Linked DNA regions of Mytilus edulis. The protein of the gene in region 1 purifies or fractionates together with the protein of each later gene. This does not show direct contact. Links are inferred from orthologs where the notes say so. Each region holds a gene or a part of one and is shown in the gene's direction. Other genes may lie near its edges.

The links. The genes of interacting proteins can lie anywhere in the genome.
Region 2: the proteins of serine/threonine-protein kinase LATS1-like (region 1) and Wilms tumor protein 1-interacting protein homolog purify together in Drosophila melanogaster (affinity purification with western blotting; 4 studies listed by BioGRID). This does not show direct contact. The link is inferred for Mytilus edulis from reciprocal best matches to the Drosophila melanogaster genes wts and jub.

The regions. Positions count from the first base shown.
Region 1 is NC_092353.1:65,163,513-65,171,252, forward strand, and holds the start of serine/threonine-protein kinase LATS1-like, read left to right. Parts: upstream 1-4,730; 5' UTR 4,731-5,045; exon of another isoform or gene 5,046-5,219; intron 5,220-7,740. UniProt on the Drosophila melanogaster protein: Negative regulator of Yorkie (Yki) in the Hippo/SWH (Sav/Wts/Hpo) signaling pathway that plays a pivotal role in organ size control and tumor suppression by restricting proliferation and promoting apoptosis.
Region 2 is NC_092348.1:6,307,280-6,314,641, forward strand, and holds the start of Wilms tumor protein 1-interacting protein homolog, read left to right. Parts: upstream 1-4,342; 5' UTR 4,343-4,605; coding exon 4,606-6,001; intron 6,002-7,362. UniProt on the Drosophila melanogaster protein: Regulates organ size by inhibiting apoptosis and promoting cell proliferation by influencing the expression of G1/S-specific cyclin-E (CycE) and apoptosis 1 inhibitor (th). Negatively regulates the Hippo signaling pathway.

The DNA.
Region 1 (7,740 bases):
ACTAAGTTGGGAAACAGGTTTGAGAACTTCCCCACAGATAATAATTGAAGTGAGCTATTTTGATTGACATGGACAATAGATGGACAATAGATACCTGACAATAATTGGTTATTTAAACTGTGTACCTGAGTGGACCGTATCAAGAGAAACTTTTGACTGTTTGTTAATTTTATCATCTTCTGCAGGGACGAAAAAAAGTGCACGGCTCAATCCAGTTAAGGAACCAAGACCTTGCATTCTGGCAATTTATCTTACACACACATGAAGTTTTCCAAAACAATTGTTTTCAACATGTTCAAGGAAATTAATACAAATGGACATTTAAATTCAGCATAACAGAAATGACATCATTGACAACACATATCCAGTGAAAGTGTGTGTTTAAATGAAGGCCCGTTTCGAATAATGATCAGTTCTGGAGGATGCTAGGCTTATTATTGAAAGTAAGGGCCAATGAATCCATGCCCATGGACATGATGGTAAATGGTTTTTCAAGAGAACAAACTGCAAACATGGACCTATAGAGAATAATATCCCTACGGCAATTTATTCTGAGGAAATTGTTTAAGTTGTCCACCCTCAGAACCCAACAAGGGACTAAATTATTTATACTTTAGTTGTCATGGTAAATGTACCCTATCATCACCAGCTGCATACCAACCATCACCCCAAACTCAGGTCAAATAATAACACAATTATCCTTCCTTATTTATGCCATGTCATCATACAGTAACCGCTAATTTTGGGGTTACTTACAATCCAGATGTTTTTTCTTTGGCCCCATGACTTCTTCTGTAGTCGCTTTACATACAACCTTGGCCAACCCTTGGCCCGAGAGGCTGTGTTTAGCCGCAGTCATGCGATCTAAAATACTCTGTCCTGACATTTTGACTAACTATATGGTTAGAACACTCAGGAGTCACCAAGGGTCTTCTCTGACCCAAATGAGTGTGTTGAAATGCTCTAAATACACAAAAAGGGGTGGATACGGCGACCAATAATATTCAAGATGGCTGTTTCATTAATCAATCTCCGAAACAGAGGCGATCGGATTTTTTTGTTACACTAAGTTTACGCCGGTTTACTACAAAAATTATTAGCTTTTTTAAAAGCTCGGCAAAATGTACTGTTCTTTATAGGCACTGCTACGATTACATGAAACTGCAACAATCATAAAAAATAAATGCTCCGCAGAGCGCAGCTGGATACGACCGAAGTTCAAGCCTGAACAGTTGGGGTCGCAAAAATAGACGCAATATACAAGCTTGATATCTGACATACAAGTCTGAATTTGGATTGTAAATTAATGTGTTTGGATTACCTCCCTTACACTGCTTTTAGATCAAGACAACAGTAGTATACCGCTGTTTGAAACTCATAAATCGTCGATTGAGAAAAAAAATCCCTCTTACAACTTGAACTAAAGCTGAGGGAATATAGTTATCAAAAGTACCAGGAAACCATTAACGAGGAAACCCTTGTTTTTCCTCTCTTTTGCCCCTAATGCCTAACCAGTTTGAGCCATAATCCCCAAAGTAAGCCTAAGCATCCCTTTGTGGTATGGAAACTTGTGGTATAATTTCAGAGTGATCCATACACCGTTCCAAAAGTTGTTGTCTGGAAACTAGAAAAAAGCATATTTGTGGCCCCTTTTCAACCCCTGATTTCTATACTGTTCGGTCTTTAAATGTCACAGTATCCGATGTGATTCAATGAATCTAAATTCTTAAGAATTTTAAAATTCTCTTCTCTTGTTTTTGATTATTTTGCCAGATATTCGGAATCCTCCAGTTTCATTCATAAAACGCCATTAAAAGTTATGCTCAATTACCCACATCTTTTTTCGCAATTTTAGTGCATATATCTAAAAAAGACATATTTTCCAAACTTTTGATTTTTTTGGATTTTTTTAATGGTGCCAATATTCTATGTAGGAACAATCTAGAGAGAATCATTTCTCGCCAAATTTTCGATACCTTATATCTCGAAAAAAAAAGGTTGTTATTTTGAAACAGAGTAGTGAGCATTCTCAAGTAGATGATTAGTATTACTAGTACCAACCGTGCAAGGGCTGTATAGCCAGTCAAGGTCGTTAAAAGCTTTCATTTGTTACTAATATGATGATTCAGTCATGGGGTAATGCAAATTTGTAATTGTAATGCAAGGTAATGAATTCCCTTTCAAAGTAAAAGTATGTAATGTGTTATATTAATGCAGCAATTTTATTATATGTGAATATAGCGCAAAATTAGAGAAACAGATTCACCACAAACCTCGTGTATTATGATATTTATCCATATCAACAGTTAAATCTTAATTATCCGTTAAAAAGCTCGGCAAGTATCGCACTTTAAGGTGGTATGGGAGTCTAAATTAAAAATGATAGAATTTGTTCATGCTAAAACATAGCATTTATCGATATGTTCAAAAATATAATAAAAAGGCGGTGGCTATTTTGCCGGCTCCGGCAAAATGGCTGTTTATAAAGAATTTTGCTATTTTGCCGGTCTTAATAAAGAGTAAAATAGAAGTACATGTATAGAAATAAAGAGAAACATACACTTCAATAAGAAATTTCCATACAACTATGTCAGTCTTCTTTATACATATATAAATACAAATCGTGCATATTAAATTTGATATTCTGTACAGTCTTTTTAAAACATTTTAAAAGTAAACGCATTAAAATTGATACAAGTACTTTTTTTCTTCGATAGAAGCTATTTTAAAATAAAATCTTTAAAAAAAATATACAATACCAGAGAAATATAGAATATACGTCTCTGATAATATACATAAGAGAAGCATACGAACCCATGTAAAAAAATCGACATTCTGATACAAACTTATAAAAATATCCTTTTAGTTTTGATACAAAAAGTAACACCCAACAACTCAAACTGCTTAACGAGAGTTACAAAACCAGTGTCTTGCTTCTTGGTGGTTTTTTTTTCTAAGTCTGGCACCATAAAGGTGCTGCCACTTCAAACATGAAGTTAACATAATACTTCAACGATTTTTTTGCGTCAGCATCACTTATGCAAAATTTGCTCGGTTATACATTTCAGTATTCAAAATTCATAGAATAAATGCTGTTTGAATAGCTAGATTTCTATGCATTGTGTGTACAATATTTGTGTGTTTATTTTATAATACTTTATTGCACCATAGACAATACATTAATTATTATTAAAGTTTTGTCTGGTTTTCATGAATTTTATAGTCGATGTTTCACGTTTCAAAGTACTCCAAAACCGGCTTAAACTCTTCATATCAATTTGAAAATCAAGTTTGTTTGATAACAAATTTTCCATTTTCGAACGTTCAATGTTCAACAGAAATTAACGTATGTATAAAAAAAAACCGGAAAATTTGGTAGGATTTCCAATCAGACAACTCACCGCAAGAGACCAAATGACACGGAAATTAACTACTATACGTCACGTACGGCCTTCAACAATGACAAAAGCCGCTTAATCAGGCGTCTATAAAAATAACATGTATACATCTCACAAAAACACAGTACATGTAATTAAATGAGTGCAGTTCACCAAAATTGATTATGACTAGGAAGGCAAGGCGAACAAAAAGTTTATTAATTGACATTTAGCCACATATAAATTTTGTACATGAATAGTTTCCCTTAAAAATATATTTCATATAGTCTTGCCATGATTAAAAATCTGAAATAAGACCGGTAATTTAGTGGTTGTCTTTTGTTTATGTGTTGCATATTTGTTTTTCGTTCATTTTTTATATAAATAATGCCGTTAGTTTTCTCGTTTGAACTGTTTTACATTGTCATATCGGGGCCTTTTATAGCTGACTATGCGGCATGGACTTTGCTTATTGTTGAAGGCCGTACGGTGACCTATAGTTGTTAATGTCTGTGTCATTTTGGTCTCTTGTGACCAGTTGTCTCATTGGCTATCATACTTCATCTTATTTTTTATAAAATAGAAAAACTCTATATTATAAATCGCTAGCTATTTCGACGGCACCGGCAAATAGCATCTTAAAGTCACCGTACATTTTCTCAAGCTACAGGATGTGACAAATGGCAAATTTTGTATGGATTATACAGGAAAAAAACACCCGATTATGTGATTAGAAGCTAAACTAAGAATTGTAAATAAAATACGAGATATTTTTAAGAAAATGCATCGAGAATATCAAAAGAGAAGATAGGGTCACCGTGTGTATTTTTAAGCTAAATTACAAAATAACTAAATTCCACAGTAAAGATTTCCTCAGAAAATGCACCATTGTAGAGTTATCTCCCCTTTAAAATGCCTATTTCAAATCATTAAAAATCTAGCAAAAAATAATCTACACTTTCAAAATTATTAATATTAATAATCTTATAAATGTGTTCTTTCAAATGCAAATTCACATAAGTTATCGGCATTCTTGCATTAAATTTTGCTAATTTGTTTGAAAATCTGGACCTTAGATTTTTGTTTTTTTTCCAATCCAAGTTGTCGAAAGACACCCATATCAGTTACATACCGGCCGGGAGTAATTCATACCTAAGAAGAAGATCCCGGCGGGCACATTTTTATACAACCAGATAAAAACATATATTAACTCCCTTTCAATGAACGGGATGCCGAAAAGAGAGAGAAATGCACAGTGCCCCCGTGGAAATGCTATTCGCAACACGATTTACACACATAACACACGTGGTTAATTTTTGTACGAAAGTCACGTGAAAATAATGGAATGTCAACAATGCTGTAAAAAGGGCGTACCTCTGTCAATCAAATAGCTTGATGGAAAAGTCCATAAATGAAATATCAGAAGGTAGAGCGGCATGAATTTTATCAATTGGAGATTACTTGCTCCTAAGATAAATAATTTATTACTTATATTTCTTACAGTTCAAAATATCATATGTTCTGCTAAAATATAAATTTACTCGTCCATAGTTAATTTTAAGAATAAAGATGTAGGTCAAACAACCTGCTACGGAATTTGTGTTTCTTAGACTCGTCCATTTTGGATAGTGGCCGTATTCAGTGCCAGATTTCGACAGAGATTCTTGGGTGAGTGTTATTTGTTTTGCTGCTTGTGTCACCAGAAACAAGTAAAATGAAAATGAAACTACACATTTTAAAAAAAGTAACGAACTTTATTTACTAGAAGTTACAAATTTTGATATGGGACTAGATGCATCCGAACAACATGGCGGATACCAAAAAGGTGTTAAAAACCAACAGGTTAAAGTATATTGTCGTTTACCTATTTTTTATCAGATAATAAAATATCAAAAACAAGAATATATGAGGAACAGTTGATTACACCACAGCAAAACGACTGATTGTATTTTGAGAAAGTTGTCCAGAAAGACTGCTTAATATTCTTCAAATATTTACATTTTTATTGACATTGTATAAATACCTATTAATTTAAGTATCATATATACTGTTTAAGTACAATGTACCATGCAGTAACAAACAGGCACATTACATATTTTGTTATTTTTATCATGCAGTGTTCCCAAACATTTGGTTATTATCAAGCAGTTAAGTTGCCAATTTTCATCAGCTGGTACATGTATTTTATGCAATTATTTTCTATTGATGAGGGGGCCTCGTTTGCCAAAGTCGAAGTCGTAGTCGTACTACTGCAATCACTAGCCAGTCAACACTAAGGTTGTGAGTTCGACCCCACTTGTGCGGGTGTACTCTACTCCAATCTTAATTGACTAGGATTGTCAGTTTTCCTATCGAAGGTCAGTGGTTTTCACCAGACACTCCGGCTTCTTCCACCAATAAAATCTGGCTGCCATGAAATAGCCTAAATGTGGTGCTTAATAGTGGTGTTTAACACCAAAAATCAAATCAAATCTATAGTTGAGTATTAATATATTTATATATAGTGGATTTGGGTATCTTGTTATTTCAACTTATTAATCCCTTTTCACTTTGCTCATGTTGCTGGTGCAAGTGTTGCTTTGTAATGGCATTAGCCTGCTCTTTTTATCAGATCTATAAGTAACAAGGGTGTACATGTCTTATACATGCAAGAGATATATTGGTCTTTCTTACTTATTGATGAATATTCAGTTTTTAGTTGAATATTAAGAAGATGTGGTAAGAGTGCCAATGAGACAACTTTCCATCCAAGTCACATTTTGTAGAAGTAAATCATTAATGGTCAAAGTACAGTCTTCAACACAAAACCTTGGCTCACACCAAACAGTAAGCTATAAATTCCCCAAAATGACTAGTGTACAATGGTGTACATGTTGTACATCATGTACATGTTAAACCTTTCAAATTGGTAAACCAACGGTCTAACCTACATGTATATGGTTCTAACCTATATGAGAAACGAGAAACACTTATGAACCACATCAACAAATGACAACCACTGAACATCAGGTCATGATCAGTATAACAATCATAAAATTGAGAATGGAAATGGGGAATGTGCCAAAGAGACAATCGTATACATGTACCAGAAAATATTTACCTCATATTATGTTTTTAAAGTCTATTCCATACATAAGAATAACAAGAGCATGTACATATTTGTATATGAAAGTGGCTCACTACCACATCGTTGCTGAATGCAAGCTTTATTATATATGCCATCATTCATAAATACCATATGAGAATAAAGAGATGTTGTATGAATGCCAATGAGAAAATGGCCCTTAAAGAAATGACTATCTCACTTAGCAGTACCTGAAAGGGCTGGTCAGTGACTTGAAGAGGCGACCTCTTTAGTGTCTAGGTGACCAGATTTTATAGAAAACTAAGCATGTGGGAGATTACATTTCAATTCTTCTAAAAGTCATGTTTTAATCATCAGAATATAAAAATCCTTGTTGTCTTCTCCTGTGGACAGACTTGGTTAACTTGGCCCAGGACTTTTCTGACTGTAAATTAGACTTCTAGGATCATTATCTTCCTATTATGCCCCAGTTTATTCTGGGTAGATTTGTCAAGTACTCTACCAAAAGTATTTGTAATAACCGTTACATTAGGTCATGATGAACACACAGGACAATGATCATGATGATAACAAAATTGATGAATAAAATATAGCAGGGGTCATAATAAGGCACAGCTAGAATAAATAAAACCAGGACTTAGGATGACTATTCGGGTGACCAGGATTACTGCTTAGAGCAGATCTGTGTTTTCTGAGCAATATAAATAAATATTTTGACTTGCACAGAATCATTCAGTAGTTCTGAAATTTTAATGGTACAAAACATATATCAAGACCGGGCAGCCAAAATAAAAATATAAAAATAAGTATAAAATTAAAGCAGTAACTTAATCAGTGTTGTATTCTCATTAAGGGTAGCAGTAAAATATTGAATTGATTACTAAATAAGAAATCAGGACAGCCCTTTATTTAAACCATGAAGGAATCAGAAACAAAACCACTATTGACATTTTCTCTAATATATCATGCTAGCAGTACTGCACAATTTGCACACCCTTTCTTGTAGTTTGATTTTATTTTAGCACCAATAGAAATAAAAAATCTGTCTTATGTTTAGAGCAATTATAAAATTGTTTTTGTCAATATTTCTTATTTGAAAAGGTGAACAATGATTTAAATGGCATAAATTGTATACAAGTAATGCATATTTTTGTATCAATACCTTAAACAATGTTATTACAGTAAATAAAACAAAATGTGTTTTGCTATATTTTATGAAAAAGATCAAGAATATTTTTTGATTTTATAGGTTTGCTCAAGTCTGCATACAAGCCTATA
Region 2 (7,362 bases), on another chromosome or scaffold:
CAAGAATAAATAAAAGAAGCAAACACGATTAACAAAACTAGAAATACAAATGAGTTAAACTTGTCAACTCATTATAGGAGTAATTCACCTCAGCTGACGATGTAAATACTGAAGATGAAGAGTAACTGTAGACGGCAACATTGGTCAGCAAGACAAGTTCTACAAATAGATAAGCAAAGCATAATACTTTCAAAATTACATAAAGGCCAGTTTATCAAAACCTTCCTGTGTTTTTAGCACATGGTTGTGTATGCCTGGCTTTTAAATAAAATGTACTAAACATCATTGTTAACAACGCTTCACTGAAGATGACTTGTCGTTCGATGATATTGTCAGTTTCACAATTTGAATACGTTTTGGCTTTTATCGTTCGTTTAGGTCGTGCTGGTATGACAAAATTGTCGGCTGGCAGAGCCGGCACCAGACCCCCAACCACCTTAAATCAGAATAAGACGGAGGCTGTGTCTTCTTTCTTCTTGCGTCTCTATTTCAAGTTGTCGTCTCATGTTTGTTATGGACCCTGTTTCTCGACTCCTGTAATTTTTCTTGATGAATCGTATGCCTCTGATTTGGATACGTTCTAATTTGTCAATATCCCCTTTCATATATGGGTTCCAGATTGTTGCGCCATATTCCATTGTCGATCTTACTAGGGATATGTATGCCACTTTCCTACATGCCTCTGGTACGTTCCTCAAGTTCCTCCTAAGAAAGCCCAAGGTGGAATTGGCTTTCTTGCTGATGTTGTTTATGTGGAAACTCCATTTCAGGTCGTTTGAGATTTGGAGTCCCAAGTACGGGTTCACTTGTACCTCTTGTAGGATGTGTTTGTTAAGCGTGTAGAATTTGTCTGTTTTTTGTTTATGGATAGAATATAGCCCTTTTTGGCATTGAAACGCATTCCCCATTTGTCGGCCCAGATTTCTAGTTGTTCCAGATCTGTTTGTAGTTTTTGTTGGTCTTGGCTATTTTTAATTGTTCTGTATAGTAGGCAATCGTCAGCAAATAGTCTTACTGATGATGTTACACTGTCTGGTAGGTCATTGGTGTGGCACAGGAACAGGATTGGTCCTAAGACTGTGCCCTGGGGGACCCCAGAGTCAACTGTTGTTTCGCTAGATGGTTCGCATTGATCTTGCAGTTAGGAAGTTCTTAAGCCATTTGTGATCTGGTCTTAGGCACTTTGTAAAAAATCCGCGCTCTGAATCAAACATTGCTTATTTATCCGTCTGCTGAAACCGACATTATAAAGTTTCCTCATATTTTTATGGACAATTTATTTGTTACGTTTTGGGAGGTGTTGCTCATTAAATAATCGGCATTCCCTGTGAATAAATTGTGCTCCTCTTCAGTATTGCCGATTCATTCCTTTATAAGGTATCTTGTACCTCCCTATATAGGTGTATGTACCTATTTTTAACTTGCATGGTGTGTCTCTATTTGAATTACTTTAATATAATATTTGTCTTCGAAATCAGTTTTATTCGCAGAAAATAAACAAGAAGTTTACCCTTATCTCATTGAAGTATGTATACCCTTTTACGTTCAATATGGTAACTAAATATATTACACGAATAATACTTTTTATATTTATAGGTTTGTGGTTACAAAGTTTATACTGGTAAGCCATGTGATTATATGAATCACGTACATCGTTGCATTGCAAATATATTCATCAATAAATAAACCATCTTTTGTGTTTTTTAGCACAAGAGCATACTTATACATTGTCAATAATTTATAATATATGGGAAGTATTTATTATTCATACATTACCACAAGACTACGTGTTTTCCGTCAAAATAACACTGAGAACGAAATTTGTGTTTTCTTCTACTAATACAATAAAATTGAGAATAGAAAAGGCGAATGTATCAAAGAGACACCAATCGGACTAAGACCAATGGGTCATCAATGCAGCGAGTAAATCTCGAACCCGGAGGCGTGCTTCAGCTGGCCCCTAATCAAAAAAGTATCATAGTTGAGTGATAATGGACGTCATACTTAACTCCGAAATATATAAAAAAAAAAACTAAAAAAAAAAAAAAAACTAAAATTTAAAATCATACAAGACTTAAACAAAGGCCAGAGGCTCCCGACTTGGGACAAAATGCGGCAGGTTTAACATTTTTTTTTTAGACCTCAACCCTCCCCCTATGTATATCATTTGAGTACATTTCACCATTATTTCGTAAATTGACGCATCCGCCATGAGACAGTTGAAAACATAAAACTCCTATATTCCACTACATACATCAAAGCAGCTGTTTATATTACATTAAAAGAGCTCACAGTAGGAGCACTTTGTCAGATCGAGAACTTTCATATCTGACTACAGAGTATGCGATTTGCTTATTGTTGAAGGTCATACCTTTAATGAATAATAAGACATAAGACATAAAGCTTTTTATAGAGATGGTATATACATTACAAGTACAAACATAAGCTCTGAAGAACTTTTTAAACCGAGCTATTACACTGGTGGATAGTTGTCTCGTTGGTAATCATACCACATCTCTTTATTTTTGGTTATAAATAACAATATTGGACATTCACTTAAACAAAAACAATTAAGTACAACGTAAAAAGAACTTGAATGTATATTAATACATATATAAATATTCATTAATATTGGTTCAATTGTCATATAAATGCCTTGATTATGAGACACTATGTTTTCAAAACGCTAGGCATTGTTGTTACTTTGAACAAGTTTTCGCTTGTGGAATCTTGTCTCCATAATTTCTGTATTCTTTATTTTTCTAAGGTAATTCTCTTTATCTTTAGAAATAACGCTTAGTATGTATCTTCATAAAATCATTTTACTATCACATTTTCTGTAATAAGATGAATTATTCATTCTGTGCATAGTTCATTTCTGTAATCGGTATCATAAGGGACATATAATACAAATGTATTACATGTCTCTGGTATCATATTACTTTTTTTGTTAATTTTCCCTAATTGGTTTTTTGCTGAATTTTGTCATACATTGCAACTTATAACAATACAGAAACAGGTCCACAATAAGTGGTGCACTGTTAGTTCCCATTGGAACTCCGATAACTTGACGATATACTGAATCTCCATAAGGCGAATAGAAATGTTATTTAGCAAAAATTTAAGGGCAGTTATAGTATCAAAACAGTTCCAATTGACATAGTTCTTTTGTTTGTTGTTACTAAAAAAAATGACAAAAAAGGTACGCATTCTGACTTTTCAATGACCATTTAATTATATGTGTTTTTTTTAAATAAGATAATAAAGTAAAGTGGTATATAGAGTAGAAAATTAAAAATTTGAACAGATTCGAAGTCACCAAAATAAGCATGCAAATTATCAAATACTTCCAACCAATTTTTGACACTCCCAAAGGTAATTATTTCAACAATTTTCAAATGTCTTATTTGAACTGTGACCACAATTTCTAAAATTTCCCGGGTTAAACTATCGTAAGAAGTCTTCTGAGAGATCTTTCCTGCACTTATTCCTTTTCAAAAGATTTTTTCCCGCTTCGGTTGCAACTTGGGCCAAATGGACACTGAATAGTTGAAATTTGATAGAATGACAGAATAGTAGGATGTTAACCTGTCCAGCTGGATGAAATGTTTATCCATTCGTTTTAGAATACTGACATATTTTGTCTTGATGCCTTTTTTACATATTTCCGGTCAACCTCGACCACAATATTTAAAGTCTCAGAAATAAGTAGCCTGGCATGAATCCATGCCGTATTATACTATATCCTCAAACTTCAACAAAGAAACGGACGTAATTAACGAACGAGTTTAAATTGTAATATGACATATTGTGTCAAATGTAACTTATAATAATCAAAATGTAAAAAGGAGGCAAAAACAAAAGACAACATCACACTGGAAAAGGAAAATTAACATTAAAGAACGAACAATCGACTCATTCAATTGTCGTAAAGTTTTTGCACAGTTTTCTAGATCTGTGTGCAAGTAAAGTTATAACTACAACATGAAATTTATTAATAAAGAAAGAATCTGAAATTAATAAAAAAAATATTTGCAATAGACAAAGACATATATGTATTATACTCTGCTGTAGCTAAGTATTCGCAATTATTCCTGTAAATTCCTATTTTGTAGCGCGGACCTTAAAGAGGACACCTCTACATTAAAAAACATAACTGTAAATCGCAGGTACTTCCGCGTTAAGACCACAACAAGTTCCAATGGAATGTGTGAGATTGTGATTAATTTAAAAGATACTGGACTCACAAATTGATAAACTAAGCTGAGTTTGATATGTTAATGCTCAATGCGTATAATAAAGATAACCAAATATGTCTAGAAAGTAACAAACGTGTTGGTTTAACATATCACTCCGCAATACCGCCATTGTTACAAAGAAAACACAAAGTTATGTGTATTCGCTATCTAAGGAATGTGTGTAAAATTAATTAATGGAATTTATGAGATTGACATTAAAGTGTGGAACAAGATGGATTTTATTTGAATAATTAGGATATAAACAATGGTAAAATATTGAAGAATTGATCATTTTGAATTATTTTTGGGTAAATATCAGCGTGTGAAACACATTCCTGTGTGTGGACCGTATCAAAACAATACATTAATGATAATGGCCAATCTACAGTCATTAGAGCAGGAGACTGCACGAATCAGAATGATGCAGAGTCATAAGTCTTCACCAGCAAATCTAATATCAAATTCAGATAGATATCTTAAATTTGAAAGCTTAACACAACAAAACAAATTGCCACCAAAACCTGGGGGTCAGATTGAGGGTCAAGTTGAACAAGGACATCAAATGAATCCTGGAAATATTAATGAAATGAATAGAAGTATTTACATTTCTCGTCAAGCATATCCAGCACCTAGTCATGAATACATGTTGAATCAACACTTCTCTCAAAATATGACAGTCACTAACAACCCACATGTAATGGCAAATTCTCAACACAATTTGAATTACAAGGTTGTGAAGCAGGGTACGGATCATTATAATTCCACATTGAATTACAGCAGTGGTGGAGACTCAAAGAATTCCAGTCCGAGGACTAGTATGATTAACTCCCACCCTCCACCACCATATGATCAACAGAAATTTGGAAGTCCTAGATCAAGTTTAGCGAGTCCACGTTCAAGCATTAGTGGCGCCTCATTGGAAAGTAAACATTCAAGCCCAAGAACAAGTTTAGCGGGAATGTCTGGTGTGATGTATGACAAATTTCCTAGTCCGCGAACGAGTGTTGTGTTGTCACAGGATCATGGAGTACCTAATTCATATGGACATACTTTTTATCAAGGTGTTCCACAAAATGTTGCACATCGGAATATGTCTTTAATGAATGAAAGTAGATTTAATGAACATGCTCCTCCACATATTCAACATCATGTGCCTGGTGTTCATATGACAAATAATAATAATGAAATAATTTATCAACATAGACAACATTCGTCATCTCCACATAATAGTGTTTCTAATCTTACTGGAATACAAAACGAGTCCCATATAGGACAGTCCCAAACGTTTACACCTCCACCTGCAATACCTGCACGAGTTCCAATTCACCAGAATGGTATTCATCAAAATCATTTGGATGCTGAACAAACTTTGGCAACATTAACTCAACAGTTGCAGGACAATATGAGAATAACAACGTCTCGTAAGAATTCTTTAGAATCACCAGTACCTAAAAATCCACCTCCTCCATATCATGGTCCTCATAAAACTGAACCTGTGCCAGTTATACCACCGAGAAATCCACGTTATACACAGACATCACAACCTACTTCCCAACAGAGAATGTTTGCTCCGGGGGTGGTGTCACAGTCGTCTGGTCACATTGGGCGTACACCACCGTCAGCAGCAGTTCGTCCTCAAGCTCAATTACCTTACAGTGTAACACCACCTTCAAAAGGTCCCACAGAAGCAGAGAAAAAAATAGCAGCATTAACTCAACAGTTAGAGGATGAATTTGAAAAGACACCACAGGGTGAATATTTTGGTGAGTTTTCATTGCTTTGTGTATGCAAACATAGTTAGTTTTCAATTGATCTAATCTGAAGTTGAGTTGTTTTCCTTGCCACCTCTAGCTTGTTGTGGTTGAATGTACAACAAAAAAAATCAACTGCATTAAACTTTATATGCAAAACAAATTGAAGTACAGACTCCTTCCTGACTTGGCCCTGGCAGGCACAAAAGAATGTGGTGACATTAAACTTGTACATGATTTTGAGAACTAAACACAGTAAGCAATGCTAAGCCTTCCTATGAACCTGGAACAGTGATGACACAGCACATAACTAATGAACAAACTGTCAAATTCAGTCGGTAATTGCTTATACATACATTTACATGTACATGTAATTTATAAGCCATTTTTAGCTCACCTGGCCTAAAAGGCCATGTGAGCTTTTCTCATCACTTGGCGTCCGTCGTCGTCGTCGTCGTCGTCGTCGTCGTCTGTCGTCGTTAACAATTTTTCAAACATCTTCTCCTCTGAAACTACTGAATGGATTTGAATGAAACTTTACATGATTGTTCCTTAGTATATCCTGCACAAAATGTGCGCTTCGATTTTTGATCCGTCAAAAAACATGGCCGCCGTTACTTAAAATAGAACATAGGGGTCAAATGCAGTTTTTGGCTTATATCTCAAAAACGAAAGCATTTAGAGCAAATCTGACATGGGGTAAAAATGTTCATTAGGTCAAGATCTATCAGCCCTGAAATTTTCAGATGAATCAAACAAACCATTGTTGGGTTGCTGCCACTTAATTGGTAATTTTAAGGAAATTTTGCAGTTTTTGGTCATTATCTTGAATATTATTATAGATAAAGATAAACTGTAAACAGCAAAAAAGATCAGCAAAGTAAGATCTACAAATAAGTTAATATGACCAAAATTGTCAATTGACCCCTTAAGGGGTTATTGTCCTTTAATGACAATTTTTCACAATTTGTTCATCATATTTGCTAACTTTAAAAAATCTTCTCCTCTGAAACTACTGAATGGATTTGGTTAAAACTTAGCATGGTTGTTCCTTAGATTATCCTGCACAAAGTGTGTGCTTTGATTTTTGATCCGTCAAAAAACATGGCCGCCATTACTTAAAATAGAACATAGGGGTCAAATGCAGTTTTTGGCTTATATCTCAAAAACGAAAGCATTAAGAGCAAATCTGACAGGAGTAAAAATGTTCATTAGGTCAATATCTATCAGCCCTGAAATTTTCAGATGAATCAAACATCCAATTGTTGGGTTGCTGCCACTTAATTGGTAATTTTAAGGAAATTTTGCAGTTTTTGGTCATTATCTTGAATATTATTATAGATAAAGATAAACTGTAAACAGCAAAAAAGATC